3 linked regions of the Nothobranchius furzeri genome follow. The protein of the gene in region 1 interacts with the protein of each later gene in a biochemical or structural test. Links are inferred from orthologs where the notes say so. Each region holds a gene or a part of one and is shown in the gene's direction. Other genes may lie near its edges. The genes, in order: xrcc1, polb and aptx.

Evidence for each region.
Region 2: the proteins of xrcc1 (region 1) and polb form a complex in vitro, tested with the Homo sapiens proteins (5 studies listed by BioGRID, with this or other methods). The link is inferred for Nothobranchius furzeri from reciprocal best matches to the Homo sapiens genes XRCC1 and POLB.
Region 3: the proteins of xrcc1 (region 1) and aptx form a complex in vitro, tested with the Homo sapiens proteins (2 studies listed by BioGRID). The link is inferred for Nothobranchius furzeri from reciprocal best matches to the Homo sapiens genes XRCC1 and APTX.

Annotation. Positions count from the first base shown.
Region 1 is NC_091745.1:68,550,194-68,553,853, reverse strand, and holds part of xrcc1 (DNA repair protein XRCC1), read left to right. Parts: intron 1-1,594; coding exon 1,595-1,676; intron 1,677-1,766; coding exon 1,767-1,857; intron 1,858-3,660. UniProt on the Homo sapiens protein: Scaffold protein involved in DNA single-strand break repair by mediating the assembly of DNA break repair protein complexes. Negatively regulates ADP-ribosyltransferase activity of PARP1 during base-excision repair in order to prevent excessive PARP1 activity.
Region 2 is NC_091757.1:55,610,462-55,614,121, reverse strand, and holds part of polb (DNA polymerase beta), read left to right. Parts: intron 1-297; coding exon 298-364; intron 365-444; coding exon 445-564; intron 565-671; coding exon 672-730; intron 731-831; coding exon 832-881; intron 882-1,043; coding exon 1,044-1,095; intron 1,096-1,220; coding exon 1,221-1,275; intron 1,276-1,345; coding exon 1,346-1,418; intron 1,419-1,495; coding exon 1,496-1,566; intron 1,567-1,649; coding exon 1,650-1,736; intron 1,737-1,841; coding exon 1,842-1,909; intron 1,910-2,033; coding exon 2,034-2,173; intron 2,174-3,111; coding exon 3,112-3,206; 3' UTR 3,207-3,660.
Region 3 is NC_091746.1:79,989,276-79,991,711, reverse strand, and holds the end of aptx (aprataxin), read left to right. Parts: intron 1-1,349; coding exon 1,350-1,453; intron 1,454-1,536; coding exon 1,537-1,691; 3' UTR 1,692-1,910; downstream 1,911-2,436. UniProt on the Homo sapiens protein: DNA-binding protein involved in single-strand DNA break repair, double-strand DNA break repair and base excision repair.

The DNA of each region.
Region 1 (3,660 bases):
CGGCGCACCGGAGTTAAAGCAGCGTGTGCGCTTATTGAATCTGTGTGTGTGCGCGCGCACGGCACAGCCGCTCAAGTCACCGCGTCTCGCGCTATTTAAACCAATGTTGTAAAATGACTTCTGCCCTGCCCAGATGTGCTCACATGTGCACCCGTGAGCCGTGGTTCAGCCGGAACGCGTCTGACCTCTGACAGACGCACTCTGAACTTCAGATCTTCAGCGCGCTGTCAATAGCCTGAATGGGAATCATTTCTTGTTATTTTGTTACATCCACAATGTTCTGTGTGTGAGGTTTACAATGTCAGAACACCTGCATGAGACAGGTGTTAATTACAATCTGCCAGAATGACTCATCACCTTCAGATTTCTCCAACACCGTTAAAAATGATCAAATACGGAACATATCGGCGTGCGCAGGCCAGAGTGCTGAAGCTCGACGCATTGTTATTATGAAGCTAGGGCACATGTGGAGGACACGCGCGCAAAAATATACTTGTTTTCAATTACATTTATTGGGCCCACTTACTTTTTCTTTGGCCCACCCACAAATGAGTTTCTACACTAATGGTGACATATGACAGACTTCTCTGAGCTCCGCAGCCATTACACTTTTCACCCCGCGCACCCCCTAGCGGCAGCTCGCGCACCCCCAGGGGTGCGCACACCACACTTCGGGAATCCCTGGTATAGAATATCAACCTGCTTGGTCTTGGTGTTTAATCAGAAGATTCTAGGATTCTTTGTTTTATTCAGGGATTGTAAACACTTCGTTTTGATTCAGAAAAGAGTCAGGTTTATAAAAGTAAGAATTTAATTCACAAACAATTAAAACATGACAAGTTAACTAATATTTACTGTGAATGGATGAATCTAGATGGAGTAGATGTAGTGTATGGTGCCTATGTGTGAATGTGATGTTATCAGAACTTCCGTATTTAGGAAAGCTGAGTTCTTGGTGTAAAGAATTTGGTTTGCGTTAAGCTATGAAGTTGATTATTAGCAAAAGGCATCAGATGCTATCTGTGTTTCTACTTCACCCGTTCTCGGAGACCATCTTCATGGATCCTAAGGTCAGAAAGGTCGGATGACCTCTGGCACCCAGGTCCAGTAGATTGATCACAGCACCGACTTCTCCAGTCCAGAGATGTCTCTGGTCACGACAGTTGGATGGAACCGCGCGTCAGACGGACTCTTAAGGAGTTGAAACAATATCAGCTTGTTCTGCATGAACTGTTTGCTGTATCAGCTTTGCAGGTGCAAAAAGATTTTGACGACATGTCAAAAGCTTTGATGGGTCAGAGAGGTTTTGCTTCTGATGGCCGTTCTGAAGCTTTCTCAAGAACTGAGCTGAACCGTTGAGCTGAAGTGAACTGCTGAATCACTGCAGAATTTTTGGAATGAAAATAAATTCCTAAGCACGCCTTCTGCCAGCTTCCAAACTCCAAAATGCAAACGCTGCCCGACAAAAGCCGATTACACGTTAAATCATGTCACACAAGTAAACCAGAGGGAGCCTAAGATGTATTGTTCAGCTGTTCTTTCGCTCTTTGGCCTTTTGTCATCCTGACACTTAATGTTTCCTTTATTCCTTCAGGTATTTGATGGATGGAGCTGAGTCGAGCTCGGAGAGCGAAATGGAGGTGGATGACCAGAGTGAAGAGGACATAAAAACAAAGGTCCATTTGGTTTTCTAAGTGAGACGATAAATATAATAAGAGGGAAAAAAGATCTGTCAGTTTTAAAACTCAGGGTTTGGGATGGTTTAGACTCCACAGAAGCAGGAGACTCCTAAAAAGACACCAATAAAGAAGGATGAAGATGATGAGTACGGTGGCTCGACTGATGTGGACGAACCAGGTAATCAACTTTTACACTAGAATTGTCTGTTTTCATCCTCACACTTTAGAAAGAGTTACTGGGTTTAAAACAAAACTCATTGTTTTGTGAAACTGACCATAAAATTTGGTTTTAAGAAGAAGAAGAAAATATCATTTCTATAGCGCCTCTGAAGATAAAAATCACGAGGCGCTTCACAAAAACAAAAAAATGTCGAAATATAAAAAATAATTTAGAAAAGGGTTAAAAATATATTTAAAATTAGCAAAAAATAGACAGTTGTGATTAAAAAATGTTAAGAAAGAGAGAGAGTGAATAGATAAGAGGGAAATCAGTGGATCCTGAGGAAGGTGGAATAGGTGGGGAGAGCAGAATAAAGAGAGTGGTGAAGAAGGTCATACAAAAGCCACGTTGAACAAGTGAGTCTTCAGCTGCTTTTTGAAGGAGACCACTGAGTCCACTGATCTCAGGCTCAGGGGGAGAGAGTTCCAGAGTCTGGGGGCCACAGCAGCAAATGATCTGTCACCTTTGGTCTTTAGCCTGGTGCTGCACAACCAGTAGGCTTTGATCACTGGACCTCAGGGACCTGCTGGGGGTGTACGGACTAAGAAGGTCACCAATGTAAGATGGCGCTTGTCCATGTAAGGCCCTATAGACCAGAACCAGGATCTTGAAATGAACCCTGAAGTTGACTGGCAGCCAGTGAAGCTGGAGGAGAAGCGGGGTGATGTGGGTGTGTTTGGAGGACTTGGTCAGAAAAGAAGGTTAAGTAAGTAAGTAAGTAAAGGTTTCGATTCAAATTGCTACTACTCAGAGTCAGTAGTGCCAACGGTAATATTATATGACATATTGTGCCTATCTTAGCTCTGGAAGGTGTAAAATAACACGATACGGGTCCTTGAAAAACACGATTACCCTTTATTTCTCTAACAAATAAACCAATCTCCCAAAAATCAACATTGATTCTACTAATCTCCCCTTTAAGCTCAGCTTTTATTACCTTTTGTTTTTCCATACAGACTTTAATCCAAGGTTCTCTTCACAACCTCAAGGCTGCATGCCACAAATAAAAAGTTGCAATGAATAATTAATATGTCACATAATGAAACTACAAACTAAGTCTCCACACATGCTTTTAATCAGCAAGGTGAGGGTTTTAATCAAAGCAGAAATAAAACCTTCATTCACCTCAAATCCCTCGATGCATAAAGATGATGATATCTGTAATAAACTCATCTAAGAGCTGAGATTAGGTAGCTGCGACACGTGGCGGTCGATTCTATTAGCTCACATAACTAGACTGAGAGGGAGCAGCCGTGGTGATGAAGAGGACTGGATGAATGAAGAGGGGCTGGGGGACGAAACAGGAGTCCAGGGATTGGACTAAAGGCCTGACCTTTATGAGGCTCTTGGAAATGGATGGGAGGACAACAATGACGCTGGAAGATCTCATACTGTAGGTGTAGTCGAAGGGAAAAGAGCGGAGATGGAGGCTGGACGTAATCACTGTGGAGGGACTTGTGCATGATTCTCATTTCTATGTTAATGTGAGGCCAGGAGGGAAGTGCTGAGGTGCATCATTAAGGCGGAACAACATGCGCTGACACACCAACACACCTCCTACATAGGGAGATGCTTCCCTCTTCGACAACACAGGTGGTTATGGTAATAGCCATGTTGCCAGCGAGGTTATGTCTGCTGATGTATGTTTCAGAGAAGCAAGGACTCACCTGGCATTTAAATTAGACGGTAAACTCCTTTCCCCAGATGACCAGGGGGAATTTAAAGCAGATTTACCTCTCAGACATTATTAGAGTTAATTAG
Region 2 (3,660 bases), on another chromosome or scaffold:
GTAAGATTTATTTCTTTTAACCCTTTAGAACCCAACCATAATGAATTAGAAAACCGATTTGAATAAATACATCAGAATGTAAAAAATTATTTAATAAAATAAAGAAGTAGAATAATTTTCAATATATGTATGGATAGAATGTCAGTTAGGTTTTCAAACTTGAATAATTGACTCAAGAAGCAATTCTGCAGGTGTTTGAAATCAGTTGTGTCACCACGGGTCCTTAAGGGTTAACATTACTTCAGTTTTGGTGTGTTTTTAAAACATCACATATGATTCCTTTTGTACGGCGAATAGGAAAGCAGCTTCCACCATTGCCAAGTACCCCAACAAGATTAAGAGTGGAGAAGAGGCCAAGAAACTGGTTGGTGATTTTTAGTTTTGTACACTTGCTGCATTTGTTAAGAAGTCACCGTTGTTTAATGTATTAACATACATGAAAAGTTGAAGAAAATCACTAATTTTCTTCAACTTTTCACAATTTTACAGGATGGAGTTGGAGCCAAAATAGCAGAAAAGATTGATGAGTTTCTTCAAACTGGCAAGTTAAGGAAACTTGAAAAGGTAAGTTTGGATATTTGCATAATGGATATAAGAGCAAACAACCAAATGTGTTTGGATTCAAACGCATCACACTGACTGATGTTTGCTACTTTAATATTTTCTACCAGATCCGAAACGATGACACCAGCTCTTCCATCAATTTCCTTACCAGAGTAACTGGAATTGGGTATTGTATTGTTATTGTGACTATTATTACAGTTAAAAAGTGTCGGGGGATGTTTACAATTAAATACACAATCACCACATCACTTGGTTTTCTGTCCACAGCCCGGCTGCCGCAAGGAAGTTCTTCGAGGAAGGGGTTAAGACTTTAGATGGTTTGTGAAACAAATTCCCCTAAAACAGTTTCTTGTTTAATTTCATTTCACATCCAATGACTCTGAGACTCTGATCTCCATTGTTTCCCATGAAGTTGTTGTGTACAAATTTGGTTTTATTTATATATTGATTCTCATGATACTCATGGTTTTTATTTTCAGATTTGAAAAAGGTAGAGCACAAGCTAAATCATCATCAAAAGATTGGGCTCAAGTAAGCTCAGCCAAAATACGCTCATCCCCCAGCACCACCACTTTCCTTCATTTTCTGTTATTATTTGATGGTTTTAAAAGTATTTTTAACATAATAAATGTGCTGGTGTTTTCTTTGGTACTTAGGTACTTTGAAGAATTTGAAAAAAGAATCCCACGAGCTGAAATGGAGAAGATGGAGGTGATTTTGAATATTTCTACTAAGGCTTTTATGCCTAGTTCTCTTACACTGATCCTGTGTTTTTGTTTAGACTCTTATTCTTGGAGAGTTGACAGAAATCGATACAGAATACATCGGAACAATTTGTGGAAGCTACAGGAGAGGTAACCCAAGTAGAAAATAATTAGTTTTTAATTTAAGGTTTTAGTTGAGCTTTTTAATTAAGGTGAATAATTTCCAGGTGCAGCATCGAGTGGTGATATTGATATTTTATTGACCCACCCAAAGTACACTTCTCAAACCGAGAAGCAGGTCAGACCACCGTTTATTCTGTGGCTCATTGTTTTCTAAAGTAAATGCAGCTTTCTCTCATTTAAGCGTTTCTCATTTTCCAGCCCAAACTCCTTCATGCTGTGGTTGAGCATTTGGAGTCTGTCGGCTTCGTCACCGACACTTTGTCCAAAGGAGACACCAAGTTCATGGTGAGGCCTGTTTTGTTCTCAGCTGAGGAAACACACCAACCCTCCGTTGTACATGACCCTTTTCTTAATGTCCTGGATCTAGTGGTTTTTTCCCCTTTTCTCTAGGGCGTCTGTCAGCTGCAGCCTAGTGATGATGATGAGGAAGAATATCTTCACAGGCGTATTGATATAAGGTTAATATGGAAGTCTTACAGATTTTAATACATTAGGTTGCTTCAAAATAACGATTGAGTAATTCTGTCTTTATTCAAATAGTTTTTTTCTTGCTAGTTATTGATTTTCATTTCATTTCAAAAGGTTGATTCCCAAGGACCAATACTACTGTGGAGTTCTGTATTTTACTGGAAGTGACATCTTTAACAAAAATATGAGGACTCATGCCCTGGAGAAGGGCTTCACTCTTAATGAGTACACCATAAGACCACTTGGTGTCACTGGTGAGTCGAACAAAGCTAGATACACTCAGAACTTTGTTCAAGTTCTCAATAACCAGACATCATATAGACAGACACCCTGTGGACTTGTGCTGCCGTGGCAGGCTGCCATCTTGGATGGGTCTCCATTCACCCCCAGTGCATTTATTTCTACTGTTTAATGTATTTACGCAAATAAAAATACTTTTATTATGCTTTTTCACAAAGTCAGACATATGGTATGGCATGATAGTTAAATATCTTTTTTGCACATTATAAAAACTATACAATAATTTAACTATACACTTAATATAAATATAAATACACACTACAGTACTGGGTGACAGAAACAGACAGGCAAATTGATGATATTTCAGTGCAGCTTATTTATTGTGCAAGTTTGAGTTAATTATGGTGATAGCTTTAGGAAAGAAGCTATCCCTGATTCCATTTGTTCTGGCCTGTATGGATCCGAAGCACCTGCCAGAGGACAGTAGGTTGAAAAGATGGTAGTTTTTAGCTGACCAGGAGAGGTCTGCAGAGATATGGATGCCAATACACTTCGAAGACTCCATTTGGTCCACAGATTGTCCATTGATGTGCAGGGGGGCAGGGGTCATTCTGTTCCGCCTGAGTTCCTTGGCCTTCCCAACGTTATGTTCCAGGTTGTTTAAAAATAATTACATAAAATAAACATAAAACATCTCAAATGTAAAATCCCAAAAGATAGGCTAGAAAAGTCCCACGTGATCTGTTTTCAATAGTGCGTTGGTTGATGCAACCATAAGCTGTACAAAATAAAGGCGTAGTTGCTCACTCTTCATTGACTCTTGGGTTTAGAGAATGGGGAACCCATCCAATGTGGTGGTGACACCGTTACACTCTCCAACGCCCAATGAGGTGTCTGTCTTTGTCTACATTATTTACAGCAGTTCATTCTTGTATCTTTTAATCTGTTGTAGGAGTGGCTGGGGAGCCTCTGCTGGTGGATAGTGAGAAAGACATCTTTGACTACATCCAGTACAAATACAGAGAGCCGAAGGATCGCAGCGAGTAAAACAATGCTACAGCTGTCCTGCAAACAAGATTTTACTAGAAACAAGTGTTATGCTTTTGCCATACCTTCATGACGCTGAGAAGAAAGTAACTGTGAAAATGTTTTTAATGATTTGTGTTGAAATATTCCTACCTAAATTGAAATGGTCATCACTCTTGTGAAAAAAACGCTGTATTTATATGTTGACTTTACACACAAACATCCTTGTGAACATAACTTCAACTTGTTTTTTATCATGTAAACAATAATTTATTTGACCTTATTTTTATTAGTTTTTATTGTTACAAAAAAACAAAATGTCTAGATAAGTCATTTTTTAACTGGAATGACCTATTGCATGTAATGTATGTGCTGAGACTCGTGTTTTTCTTGACGATGGTGCTCTTGAATACAGCTTACTTGTACTTTTATTTCTTATTTGGCTAAGTAGACAAAGGGGAAAGTGGTAGTAGAC
Region 3 (2,436 bases), on another chromosome or scaffold:
AGCTTATTTTTCTGGAACATGTTACAGTAGTCAGTGCAGGTTTAAATGATACAAATCCAAACATTCGAAACATAAACAATATGTAAACAAATCAAAGAAACACCACTTGTTTTCTCATATACTTGTTTTCTTCTTTATCAAAATGAAAATCTAAAACTCCAGTCCACACTTGACTTGAGCACTGTACAAGTCAACCTTAAGAAATATGTATTTAAAATAAATAGCCACTTTAAACAAATTACTAAAATAACTACTACACTATGTAATCAAATCCAAATGTTCAAGTATAAATGGCATTGAATAAGTAAACAAATCAATGACAAGGAACTAATTGTATATTTCTCTTCATCATCAACAAATAAGATGCTTCATCCAGCAACAGGGTGTCCGTGACACGGTTTAAATGCTGGCAGAGGACGCTGCGGCTGCAGCATATAGTGACTCGTTGCATTCTCCCTCAACCAAAAGTCCTCACGTCATGCATTTAAGCTAAAATGCTAATGCTAACTTACCTTGCACTGGCTGTAGAGACGTGAGTGATCGTCACACAGATGTGCCATTAGATTCAAAGTGCCTTCTGCAGACACTTGTTTCCTGCACCTTCTGCAAACGGGATAGCAGTCTTCTATTAACTGTCCCTCAGCGTTTTTCAGAAATCCAAAATATGCCCATACTTCCGATTTAGTCTTCTTTGAGGGCTGATGGATGTCCTGGGCGCTGCCGTCTCCTCCTTCGGCCGTTATTTCAGCTTCAAAGTTTTGGTTGCAAACTAAAAAGTGCGTGTGCGCGGGAACTTCAGCAGAAGCGACGGTGGCTGGTAAGGGTCACCGCGCCTAAACCGCGGCCACGGTAAACCCACCGAGATAATTTAGTTTTTTAAAAACTGGACTGTTATTTTTATTGTCAACTTTTTTTACCGTTTACAGCTATACCGGTTACCGTGACAACCCTAATCCAGACATTTGTATGATTCAGCTCTCAGAGATCACCGTGATCAACACGTTGTTAATAATTCTTGGAGAGAAATAGCTCGCACTGTCGGAAAAGACGAGGACGCGGTTAAAAAATGCTGGAATGCCATGTTGTAAACAACAGTACTTTCTACTTCTACTATGGTGTAGTGTTGGATGCATGCTGTAGAGCTCCATGCTGCCCCCTACAGTTTGGGAGAATATTGGCTCACCGCAGAGACAAGCCGCATGAACCATAAACGCTGCGAGTTGTGACGCGCGTTCCATCCGCGAGCCGCATCACCAAGCGGAAAGTAAATGCATCAAGCATAAACCAAGCTTAAAACTCTGGTAGGGGGTGACTTGCTCTTTAAATCAATATTCTACAATCTGTTTCAGTCACATTCACCTCCATGTGATCAGCCAGGACTTCGACTCTCCCTGTTTGAAGAACAAAAAACACTGGAACTCTTTTACAACCGACTACTTCATGCCGTCTCACGGTGAGAACAAATATTGAGTTTTTGGTAGCTCAACAGTCTTGAAAGACGAACCAAAACACACATCTGGGTTTTTCTTCCTACAGACGTCATCCGGATGCTTGAAACAGACGGGAGGGTGACGGTTAAAGAAGGCACCAGTGAGCTGTTGAAGCTGCATCTCCGCTGCCACGTGTGTCACAGAGAGATTCCCACCATACCTGCTCTGAAGGAGCACATCAAATCTCACTTTTCCAAATGACACATTGGTTTAAAGAACTTTACAAGTTCTTTGTTCCTATTTTGTAGAAAAATGTTTAGTTTCAGCAAAAACTAAAAATATTCAAATAACAAAAGTGTCGATTATTTCAGTTGAATTTTTAACAACGTGTCACATCAGGCATTAGGACAGTTAAGTCCAAGTTGTTTTTGTTACCATTATCGTTACATATGCTGCATTAAAGGCTATCTAAGAGCTAAATTCTGTTTTTTCTCTCGACATGAAGCATATTCAGGAATTTTTAAAAGATGGCTGCCTTATTTACAAAAGTTAATTAATAGTGAATCACAGAAAATTTGAGGAACTGCAAACCTAAGCCGGTGTATTGCTGCCCCCTGCTGGTTTTTGTAGGTTACATCATCCTAACGCGCGAAGCGTTCAAATTTGTGTCCCTAAACAGCAACTGTTATTTCAAGATGGCGCAAAGCTGGAGCGTCGACCACGGGTATGTGTCTAAAATGTAAAATTAAAAGCTAATAGGAAGACTTAGAATAAACGCTGGTGAGTAATCTTAATTAAAAAGAACAAGTCTGTGAATGGGTTACACAGAATATGATAATAAACACACTGAGCCCAGATTACATTCACAAATTCCACCTGTGTTAAAACGTTACATCTAATTCAGCAAGAAGTCATTTTTAACATACAGTGTCAATACTTTTCAGCTCTGCATTATCTCTGGTAAAATGATACACGTTAATTTTGATGATCAGTTGTTTTGCTGCCA